2 linked regions of the Drosophila melanogaster genome follow. The protein of the gene in region 1 purifies or fractionates together with the protein of each later gene. This does not show direct contact. Each region holds a gene or a part of one and is shown in the gene's direction. Other genes may lie near its edges.

The links. Proteins that work in one complex are often made in the same cells at the same time.
Region 2: the proteins of Hexim (region 1) and Larp7 purify together in Drosophila melanogaster (affinity purification with western blotting; 2 studies listed by BioGRID, with this or other methods). This does not show direct contact.

What each region holds. Positions count from the first base shown.
Region 1 is NT_033777.3:14,656,518-14,662,234, forward strand, and holds Hexim (hexamethylene bisacetamide inducible), read left to right. Parts: upstream 1-2,920; 5' UTR 2,921-3,043; coding exon 3,044-3,098; intron 3,099-3,226; coding exon 3,227-3,793; intron 3,794-3,857; coding exon 3,858-4,318; 3' UTR 4,319-4,660; downstream 4,661-5,717. Other genes in the region: CG3505 (uncharacterized protein), read left to right, coding at 981-1,038, 1,127-1,305, 1,743-1,890, 1,963-2,660; Rad17, read right to left, coding at 4,826-5,286, 5,345-5,717.
Region 2 is NC_004354.4:9,241,225-9,247,363, forward strand, and holds Larp7 (La related protein 7), read left to right. Parts: upstream 1-2,592; 5' UTR 2,593-2,651; coding exon 2,652-2,922; intron 2,923-2,982; coding exon 2,983-4,499; 3' UTR 4,500-4,701; downstream 4,702-6,139. Other genes in the region: mxc (multi sex combs), read right to left, coding at 1-996, 1,101-1,401, 1,471-1,645, 1,709-1,876, 1,935-1,980; amx (almondex), read right to left, coding at 4,983-5,837.

The sequences.
Region 1 (5,717 bases):
TGATCGGCCGCAAAAGGCCTCCCAGAGCCAGATGAACTATGTTGGAGTAGCCGCTGATGCTGTCGCATTCTACTGATAGAGATAGGCAGTTGTGGCGATGCTGTTAATGTGATGGATCCGGGTCCGGACAATGTCTGCTGCTGCTGAATTTGAAGTTGTGAGCCCATAGACTCCTCCTGGGGAGTGTGCGAATGATACCCGTGTGGGTTGCACTGAAAGATTTCTCTCGCGGCTGATACCCAGATGGATTCTCGAGTAAAGGCAAGCCAAAGATCATATACCCGACAAATACCATTAAATAACGACATAAAGAACAACAAAAGTAGGTTTAAAGAAGAGTCATAGAGGAAAAACCTCCGCGCCAAAATTCAATTCGCGCCGATATCACGTTATCGAACGCTGCACAGCTGGTCATACTAGCTGACCAAGGCAACTCTGCGATCTCGTCCACCTGGGCACACTAGTTGGCGGTCATCGTGTAGTCATTCAATTTCCGACTTCAAACATCCTTCATCAGCCTGCAAGCGAGTTCCGACAAATTTTCAACCCGGTCATGGTTAATTCACACCACAACTAAACGCCGAGATGCCGAACATATGAGAGGCTCGACTTAAGATGTTCGGCATTCGAATTTCTAACGTCTCCAAATGGGAGACTTTTAAAATCACGATCAGTATATCAGTATTAGCTTGTGAGCTTATTCCACAAATAAAATATTAATTACTAGATCTCATCTAAGCGTAACACGCTGAAATCTCGACAACTCATTGTAAGTGAATATGCCGTAGTGCAGGGCATTAAAAGCTCTACAAAGCCCCCCAGTTACACAACTACGATTATGTTATCTGAACCCGGTCCGAAAGCGACTCTCTGGTAATTCACAGGCACCGGCCGAACTTAATGTTAATCTCAGACTCAGCTTCGATCGCAGTCTCATTCGTTCCGCTCAGCTGTATCGTATCTGATCGATCCGGTCCGGCATGGGAAGTTTTCCAGCTCTACTTGTTGTTGTCGGCTCGCTGGCATTGGGCGCGAATGGTGAGTGTGTACGGAATACGGGATCGTAAACAAGTCTGGCTGTGAACTTAAGTTAACGTGGGACGATCCCCGATCTCCGATATTCCAGCTCAACTCCCGCCCATCAATTGTGTTGCAAAAATTCCGAGTGGCCGTGTCACCGGTCACTGCATTTCGATCCGGGAGTGTGACTACTTCATGAGAATCCTGCTATCCGGCAATCTCAGCCAGAGCGATCGCAACCTGCTCCGTGATAATCAGTGCGGAGTGCGGGGCAACGACGTCCAGGTGGGTGATTCACCACAGTATCTCTCCCTACCCAATTGAACTCGAACTTCCACAACTTGATCCATTAAGCGCTACTAAATAAAACAAGCTCGATTATATTGGGCCTGTTCTGGTTTTCACTTTCACTGCCCAGCTTCATTTTTTTGGAATTTTATAAACGCTTGCGTTCTTATCATTTTCTACAGATAAGAACTTGTAAACGATTTGAATAGGGAAATACACCACATTTTGATAATACGAATGGTTTCAAATGAGATATCATTCTCCTTTTAAATATTTTAATTACTTCCATTGTTAATGTTAAGGAAACTTTTTGTAAAAATAAGTGACCTCAAACTGTATCATAAAAAAAAACTCGTTATTCGAGTACGCTTTTGGGAGTTCCTCGTAAAAGAGATATACTTTATAATATAATGATAAAGCCACTGTTTTTCTAGGTATGCTGTCCTAGTACCGCCGGCTTGGGTGCCCTGACCCACCCACTTTTGCCCTCGGATTGCGGAAAGGTTCGTTGGCAGCGTTCGAATGACACAGATACGCGAATCCGGGAGTTTCCCTGGCTGGCCCTCATTGAGTATACGCGCGGTGAGTTGCCGGTTTTGGTAATATATGTATATGTAGGTCACAGTATTAATCCCCACCTTTTTTACTCCGCAGGCAACCAGGAGAAGATCCATGCGTGTGGCGGTGTGCTTATCAGTGATCGGTATGTGCTAACTGCTGCCCATTGTGTGGCCCAGGCGGCGACTAGCAATCTGCAGATTACTGCTGTCCGGTTGGGTGAATGGGACACTAGCACGAATCCCGACTGTCAGTACCATGAGGATAGTAAAGTGGCGGATTGCGCGCCTCCCTACCAGGACATAGCCATCGAGGAGTTGCTTCCACATCCGCTCTACAATCGCACCGACAGGACGCAGATCAACGACATTGCCCTCGTCCGACTGGCAAGTCCTGCCAAGCTCAACGACTTTGTGCAACCCATTTGCCTGCCCAACAAGCAGCTGCGAGCGGACGAGCTGGAGGACCTGGTCACCGAGGTGGCCGGATGGCAGGCTAGTTCCTCGCAAAGGATGCGAAAAGGTTATGTGACCATTAGTTCGATTGAGGAGTGTCAAAGGAAGTACGCCAGCCAGCAGTTGCGCATCCAAGCCTCGAAGCTCTGTGGCCTGACCAATTCCCAGGAGTGCTACGGCAACGCTGGTGGACCACTGATGCTGTTCAAGAACGATGGCTATCTGCTCGGTGGACTGGTGTCGTTCGGACCCGTTCCCTGCCCCAATCCCGACTGGCCGGATGTCTACACCAGGGTGGCGTCCTACATCGATTGGATTCACGACAGTCTCAAAGCATAGATTGAAGTAAATACTTGGTACAACAAAATGTTCAGTAAAACAAACTAAAATAATAACTAAATCTTTTGATTCAGAAACAATATTTCAATAACTTACCTTGTGGGTAACAAAGTAGAAAGATTGTCTTTAAAATATGGAGATTTTCTTATTTATTTTGAAATTGGCGCCTAATATTATTCAATGTGATAGCAATTGGGGTATTTTTGGTCGCGTTAGGCGGAGAACTTTATGTGGGACTCCGGCGTCAGCACCTGGTTACACTTCAATCGAGTTTTAGTTCGCTTAGTATAAAAATCGCAAACCTACAAATCGGCAACAAATCTCCAGTTATAGCTTAAAGTGTTAATTAAGTGCTTAATAAATTAAGTATTTGTGTTGGCAACATGGCTGAAGCTGTAAAAAATGGTAAAAATCGTCACTCGGGGAGCGCTGAAAAAGGCAAGCGACAAATGGCGACTGTCTTATTGGATTGTTTTTTTCTTTCCTTTGCCCCTGCAGTGGGCAGAGTTGCATTTTCGAGTATTTTGGCGGTTCAAATTTGAATTTGGTCCTCTTGCTCTTTCCAGAAAGTGGCTCCCAACAACGACCTTTGGATAGCGGCGGAGGAGGGGGCGCCAGTGGCGGAGGCGGTGTCGCTGTAGGAGGCGGCTCGGGAATGCCGAAGAGGAAACATCGGCGGGGAAAAAAATCCAAGATGCAGCCCAAGAAGACCAAGAACCATTATCCGCAGTGGAAACTCGATATGTCAACGGGTGCAGGAGCAACGCTGGAGGGGAATCAACGACAGAATAGCAGAACCAAGCTGGTTCGTTCGCGCTCCTTGCTCGTTCCGTACAACACGAACCGCTTCCTAATGGAGGAACACATGTCGGAGCTGCACAAAGATGACTCCGACGACAACTGTTTTGGCTCCCAGACCGAAGATCAGGTGCTCTTCCTTTCCAAGGAGTTCTCCGATGTCTACGAGCGAGCGCGGCTCGAACGTTTGGAGACGATGAGCAAGCAGGAGCTCATCCAGGAGTGCATGCAAATCGAAGATCGATATTCGAAGGCCCAGAACATATCCAAGGAGTTTGGAGCCAAATTACGAGCGCAGGATGATAAGATTCGCCAACTATCACGTGAGAATCAATGTATGCGATGTCTTTAATAATTTGAAAAACCAGGAAAATTTATAACTTGTGCCTTTTATTCCAGTTCTGCGCACCCACCTCTTGCGCACGTGTTCCGCGACAGCTGGACCAGCGGCAGCAGCAGCGGCCGCAGCTTCCCCGCCCTCAGCGGTGGCGCCCACTCCCAGTTCAGCTTGCGAGCTGCAGGCTAGACAACAGCCTCCCCAGCAGCCACAACCCACACCCATGGACTCCACCAGCGAGGACAGCGAAAGCGACAGCAGCAGCACCACGTCGAGCACCACGTCCACCACTTCCTCGACCAGCAGCGATGGTCACGAAATGGGCGTGGCCGGCCTGAACATAGCCAATGGGCATGCCGAGCGGCACGAGAGGAGCCGCACCCGCTCCAGGTCTAGATCACCGATCCACCTGAATGGTCATGCCAACGAGGAGGAGCGTCAGCGCCTGCTAGATGGAAATCAAATGGAGGAGGACGACAACTCCAGCGATGTATCCAGGCCAGCCGATGCAGTTGTCAAATAGAATAAAATAGAAGAGTATGTCACTCCGCCGTGTGTAAATAAAAGACTCAATTGTGGTAGAATGTGGCGATAAATGGACATAATCCTTGTTTAGTTTTTAAGTCATCTGTGGACGCCTAAATTGTGAGGAGTTCCTTTCAATCATCAAATAGCTCATCAAAAAGCATTCATCAGAAAGAATTAGCATTACTTTATTATCTGCAAACGACGCCTCCCAATTGTATTTTTGTTGGTCTGTATGGTGTATAGTTTAGCGGTGTTGCCTCGAAGTGTTGATTTTAATGGAACTTTGTATAATGAAAAATCGATTTGTAGATAAATAAAGAGTTAAAACATGAATTCGAATAACTACCGCTATTCATTTTCTTACGGTGGGATGCGCAGTACATTTAATTTATATAATAAACTGGGTTTTGCGATTGTTAGATATCATATTTGGTCCTAGGGACATTTTTTAAAAACTTCCTTGCTACTTTAGTTTTAACATCAGATAAATAGTTTTGATTTACTAAAAGTCTTGTTTTGAGTCTGTGCTTTGGCTTGAAGTAGTATCCACAGGCTTGCCTGCTATTAACTTAACTAATGAGCTGTACTCCGTGGCGTAGAGCGTCCTGGCAATGCCCGCGTAGCCCACACCCACCAGTCTTTGTTCGGCCAAAGTTGCCTGTGGCTGTATATTGATTCGCTTGGGTCCTCGAACAGGCATCCATCCGCTGACAGGGCACGTATTGGACATCATAACTCCTCGTATGGCAACGTTTAAGCCCATCACAGACAAATTATCATCTCTGTACTCGTTGAGCATGCAATCTGATAGGCCCAAGTCATTTATGGCGGTCACGACATCATCGATTTCCTTAAAATGCGGCAGATAGTTGGCATATACAAAATTCACAAAATTCCTGGGCTCTGTATTAAAGGCTTCGGTTATTTCCTCCGGGCTGTGTAACATAGTTTTGTCCTCATTAACTGATGAGATCCAAGATTTGAATGAGTATTTTTACAGAGAATGTTTCGTGGGACTTACACTTAGGATTTAATACTCTTCCAAGTGCGTGCATCAGAGTAATTGATTCATCTCTACCAATTGACTTTAAAGTACTTTGCATTTTCTTCTTACGACCTTTTGCGGACACACTGACATTTAGCTGTTTGGTCGGCATGCTGGAAACTCCCTTTAAAGAGCTCAAATGTAAATTAATTAACGCATTTCTTATGTCGCCCTGGGCACCGACAACTATTGAGTCAACAACAGCGGTCGAGGGCACCTTGTAAGTAGCTTTATTCTGCTGCATTACGGAGCAGAAGGTTTTCATTGACTTTTGCATGATTGTAGATGCAATAGCATTGAAACTGATGTGCTCGATGCGATGTTTGGCCTTCAGTTGGTCTGGAAAGAG
Region 2 (6,139 bases), on another chromosome or scaffold:
AATTATTCCCGACGTCGAGGGTGTCACTCTCTCCATGACTTGTCTAGATGAATCCAGGGATGCGGGTGGAAACTTTCGCTGCTCCTCCTCTAGTTGATCTATCGGTTGCTCTTTTGCCGCCGTTCCCTGGCCCGCCTTGTTGTCCACTTTGGCTGCATCTTTTATCAACTGGACTGGAGGCTCCACGCTTGGGGGAGGTGGTTGTTTCTGGGCGCTGCTAATGATAATGGAATTGGGGGGCAGCTGATTGGCAGACAGAGTAATCGGCTCCGGCAGCGATATCTCAATGTGCGAGTCATCAATGTTGGCAAAGGCATCCGGCCCAAGTTGCTGGGCTACCCACTCGTTGTTCACCAGGAATGGAAGATGCGACAGCAGTCCACCGTTCGAGAGGTACATGGGAAACGTCAGCTGCCCGGTGGTGGCGTCCACACAAACCTGACCAGCAGCTGTCGCCTCCACCTCGCTGAGCATTGACGCTGGATCGGCAAAATTTATATTGAGGCCTTCGCTTGTAAAGCTGATATTGGACGTATCCAAACCAGCAACCATTTTTTGGACACTCTCGTTGGAGTTCAGTACGATAAGCTTGGAGATGGAGAAATTGGGATCTGCATTGGTTCCTGCGGTGGCTGCAACGGCGGTGCGAATAATAAGCGGTGTTTGCGGCGGCACGGGATCCACGGCCTGTTCTGTCGGCAGCACATCTCCATCAGCAGCGGGAACAATAGCAGCCCCAGCAGCATCAGAGGCAGGCGACACACCAGGGTCCTCCTCATTTGCCAATGGTTCATCCCCGATCACCACCTCCTGTATGATGCGATCGAACGAGGGATCCTTCTCGGTGGCCTCCAGTATGTTCTTCACTAGACCATCCAACATGGCGTCACAGCTTACCGACGGATTGTTAACAGTCACCGTCTGCAGCGCTACGTTAATATTCTTTACCAGCGTCTCCTGGAAGTCCTGATTCTTAATTATCGCGCAGGCCAGTTCCTGAAATCAATGTAAATCGAAAGAGTGTTTTTTGTTTAGAATACATAATAGATGCACTATTGGTTAATTAAGCAGATATGCATTAAGCATGTCTATGGACTTACAGGCATGCTTTGCGGCGTGAGCAGAAGTGGATTGGACTCGGTATGACCTTGGCGCGGCGTGGAATTGTTGCGCGGACCAGGACCATTCGCCGGAAGTAAGTCATCCTCCTCCAAGTCCTCGGTGGCCGTTGTGCTCTCGCCATCCTCTTCGTCCAGTTCCGCCTCGCAGTCATCCTGGCTGCCTAGGAAACTCTGCCTGACCTTGTCGCGGTTAACGCTGCAGTAGAAGTGTGGCGGCAGCAGACGCGGTCGCTTGCTAAACGAAGGCGAAGAAATGCTGTTCACGGGAGAATGGGTGCGCCTGGGGAAAAGGGGTAAGAGAGCAATGAGAATTCCGATGTGCTTGTGTCAAGGAAAAATCTATAATTACAAGCGCCTTCTCTTGCGATGCGACTGTGATATGGTGGGCTCGCCTGGGGTGCTGCTTTCATTGGTACAGCTACTCCTCTCGCCGGCGGCTATCAGTTCGCTGACCCGTTCGGACAGCTTCATCTGCTGCAGCTGCATACGCATATCCAGCGGCAGCTTCTGCACGGCACCGGCCACTGAAAAGAGAGATTTTCGGTCAGCCGCAAAAAAAAAGAAACGCAAGGAGCGTGCTAATTTACCCAAGCTTGTGATCTTGACATGCTCGCAGATTATCTCCTCCAGACCCCCGTGAAGGAAGTTGTGCGTCTGCAGGCCCTGTTTAAGGGCCAGGAACTCGTGGCGCAGGTGAGGCGATGTGCGACACAGAGTGTGTGCGGCCCTTTTTAGATTCTGGTTGACTAGGTAGCCTACAAAATGGAAGAGCATAAATATTGCGAGCTAGAAAAGCGTCCAGGGAAAACCTACCCAGGACCAAGCGAGCCACGTCCGAATGCAGGACAATCGACTCCATGGCTGGACTTTCCGACTCAGCTAAGCGTCACCATCCACTCGCTTTTCGCCTTGCCTTTCTTTTTTTTTTCGCTTGCAAGACTTTAGGTTTATCGAACGCACTTGTAATGCCTTATTATTGACTGTTGCAGGTTTAATCACTCAATAGTTAGTCGGAATTGAATCAGCGCTTTAATTCGAGAGAGAATAAACCATTTTCTCGCCTATTCGCCGACTATTTTCGTTTTGTTGTTGCCGATTCTAGCGGCGCACTGTACAACACACATAGGTTAGCATAGCATCTGTGTTTTTTTTGCCGCCCGCCAAAACAACGCAGTAGGGTTGCCACAGCGCCGAACTATCGATATAGTCCCGTTGTTTGCGCTTGGCTGCCAAGCCTTATTAGGAGCGTGGGAAATAATGGTAATAATTAAAGCAAAGAAATACGTCTCTTTCGCTTAAAACAAATTATAGCAGTTTTTATTGCTTTGATGGTCTTGCTTCAATTCGTTTTTATGTGTACGTTACAGTACTTAGAATCCGATATTCGTTAAACTATCGATATGGGAATGCTGCAAATACCTGGCATCCCAGCAATTCATAACTAGACGGCGTTGCCAAATAGATCAGAACGCAAAAACCAAGTGCAATATTTTATTCGAGTGACTTAGATTACTGGTTAACTGGCACTCAATGGCTGCCAAGAGTATCGAGAAGGAGAAGGGCGAGGGTCAGGAGCCCGCGACATCAGCGGAGAAACCCGATCCAGCCGCACCCACTGAACCAGCTGAGGAAAATTCCAAAGAACCGGCGCCGGAAGACGCATCGCCGGATAAAAAGGATGGTGGACGCAAAAGGAAGAGGCATTTGTTCAATTCGATTCGCGGTCAAATGGAATTCTACTTCGGTGACGCCAACTTGAGCAAGGATCGCTTCCTTCGGCGCTACGTAGAGCAGGATCCATGTGAGTAGCTAAGGTTGGCTCACCAGCCAACATAACACTGATCATGTTATTCTTTTACAGATGTACCATTGGAAATCTTTCTCACTTTCAATAAGATAAAGACGCTCACCCAGGATGTGCAGCAGATAGCCAAGGCACTAAGCAACTCCCAGCTTCTGGAGCTGGATGAGACCGAACTAAAGGTCAAGCGACGTACCAAGCTACCAGATCAGCGCGATGTCAACGACAAAACCTTGTATGTAGAGGCCCTGCCTGCAAATGCCACTCACGATTGGCTGAAGGAGGTATTCAGCCGCTACGGACCGGTGGCCTACGTGTCCCTGCCCCACTATCCGGGCACTAAGAAGATCAAGGAATTTGCCTTTATCGAGTTCGAAAAGAGCGGGTCCTTGGAGAAAGCTGTGAAGGCTTTTGCCCAGATACAGGGCGTTTTGTCCGTAGAAACCGATCCCAGTGATCTGGCCAGTGTGCGCTCCTTTCAGCAGCAGCAGCAGATACAACAGAAAGCGGAGCAGCCGCAGTCAGAGGCTGAACAGGTTGAGTTGCCAAAGCGAAATCTAAAAAGGGAGGCCACCGACAAGGATCGCGAGGAGATACACGAGGTGAAACGGGTTAAGTTGGAGGAGGGCCAGCCTAGCGAGACCTCTACAGCTGGGGAAACAGCGAGTGAAACGGATGCAGAGGGCACAGCCGAAGCCTCCGAGCAGGAGGACAAAACAGAGGCAACCGATGGCGATGAAGCTGCCAAAAAGCGCCGTCGCAAGCGCAAGAAGAAGGCGATCGTGGACAAGCCAAACATTGAGCCCAGTGCCCTGGAGCTCAAGGTGCTACCCAAGACTAGTTGGAGCAGTATGCGCAATAAGTACTTGAATCTACAGCGTCGCATCGTCAGTGAGGCAAAGAGCAAGCTGTGGCGAGAAAATCACCCACAAAATCAGCAGCACCCTCACCACCAGCAGACCAGTCATCCAAACCATCCGAAACCTTCACAGCTGCCCGAGGCAGTTAAAGAGGAGGAAACCGGAGGCGAGGTCCCTAGCGATGGCGGTGAAGGTGCCGTAGAAGCAGCGCCTGTGCCAGCCAAGCGTCGCAAGGCGGTGCACAAGATGAACATGAATTTCTACGGCGCCGGCGGCGTGGAATCCACCAAATCCGAAGAACCTTCGCAGGAACGCACGCCGCTCTTTAAATACGAGCCCGGGCTGATTGTGGAGTGCTCCCTGCTAAAACCATGCACCAATGTTAAAGAATTTAAGGCTGAAATGCGCCAATATCCGGATATTAAATATGTGGATATTAAGGAGGGCGACCAAGTGGCCCTACTACGTTTGGGCACGCCTGCCGCAGCCGAGGAACTGCTACGCCAGGTCAACTGCTCCGAGAGGCAGCTGAAAGTGCTCTCTGGCCAGCAGGAGACGCTCTATTGGCGAAAAATCGAGCAGGATCGCGAGGCGAAACTCTCGAAAAAGGTGCGCGTGCAGCAAAAACGCGGTCGCGAGAAAGTGGGCAAAATGCTGGGCAAGCACATTAAGTTTGATGATGGCGATGATGAAGTGCAGGCGGCCGCCATGGACTGAGTCACTTTCAGTTGAGGGGTGAGTTTGGATTTCATTTCAGGAAACTCTATAATATAAGCTATATAAATTTATAAATGTAAGCAAAAGATACATTTAGATCTAGCACAAGATTTCGTAATATTAGAGTAATATTGTAAAAACAAATTGAATTTTTAAAAAAGAAACTTCCTAGTGAAATTGAAATAAATCTTCTGAATGAAACAAACCATTTATTTTTACAAATTTGTCTGATCTTACAGGAACGAGAAAGAGATGGTTATATTTTCTCTTTCACTTATTTATTGATACGATCAAAGAATTGTGCTAGATAAAAGATACAAAAAAGAACTTTTGGCATTATTAATAAAATACATTTCCTAATTAATTATGTACACGTTTTTGAGAAGATCTTGCTATTCCTAATGGTTGCATATTTGCATTCGTTATTATGTACACTGTAATGGAAAAGTTAGCTTATGACCTATTAACCCCTGTAAAACTAAACTATATGTAAAGTGAGCCATCCGCTGGCCCCAAATAATGCATCGAGATGAGCAGGACATCGATGATGGTCCAGACGCCGAGGCCGCCAAAGCTGAACAGCTTTCCAATCCCTTCCTGCCAGTGGCCCAAGTAGAATCGATCGGCTCCAAAGCCCCCTAGCGTGAGGCTAATCAGCAGGGCTGTGCTCCACCGATAGCCCTGCGTCCAGTTGCATCGCAGGTTGCGGGTAAAGGATCGATTGCCGAGGCAGAGCACATCATGGTGCACGGTGCAGTTGGTACGGAATAGCTTATCCGTCGCCGAGTTGCAACTGGAGCGCTGGCCACAGCTCTGTTGCCACATTTCCGTTTGGTAGCAGTATCGGCAATTCATTTGTCGCTGGAAACTCCGTTCGCCCAGGCACTGGACATTGTTGATCACCTCGCAGGTTACATTCAAGTCCCGGCCGTAGATGCATCCATGATTGTAGTTGCAACGGATGCAGGGAAACTGCAGGCGATCACAGGGCGTTTCCTTATCGTACGGGCATAGCATGTTGTTGTTCCCATTGCTGCTACTGCTACTGCTGCTGCTGCTGTAGGCGGTTATGTTGTCCAGGAGTCCACCGGCACCTCCTCCACTCTTGGCCACCATGCTGGACACCAGGGGCGGCACATACACCTCGTTATCGTTGGCATTTCCATTGCCATTGCTCGCATTGCTGTTATCCTTGTGATCGCCTTTTGAGTCCGATAAGTCCATCTGGTTGCCACCGCTGGCCGTTTCGCTGTTCCTGATCCCCGTCAGCACGAAGATCATGATCAGGACAATGGCCGATCGCATGTTGACCACAATGCACTGTCGTTGGAGCCTCATTTTGGTCAGATAGAGCGGGGAATACGCCGGAAATGTTATTGTTTTTCCCTTTAAGAAAATGAGTGGGGTGGGAGAGTGTGACCGTATACGCGTGGCATGAAAATATCAACCGCGAATGCTCAGGAGAAATTTCTTTAAAAAGCGTATCGAATAGTTTATAGATATGTTTTGGCTCAATTAAATTGGCTAAACAGATAAGTATACCTCTCCCCTCATCGTAACAAATTAGTAATATCTAATCCTAATATCCTTTCCATTTAAGTTGTGACCATTGGCCGCTTTAGTCGTAGGAGTGTATTAAC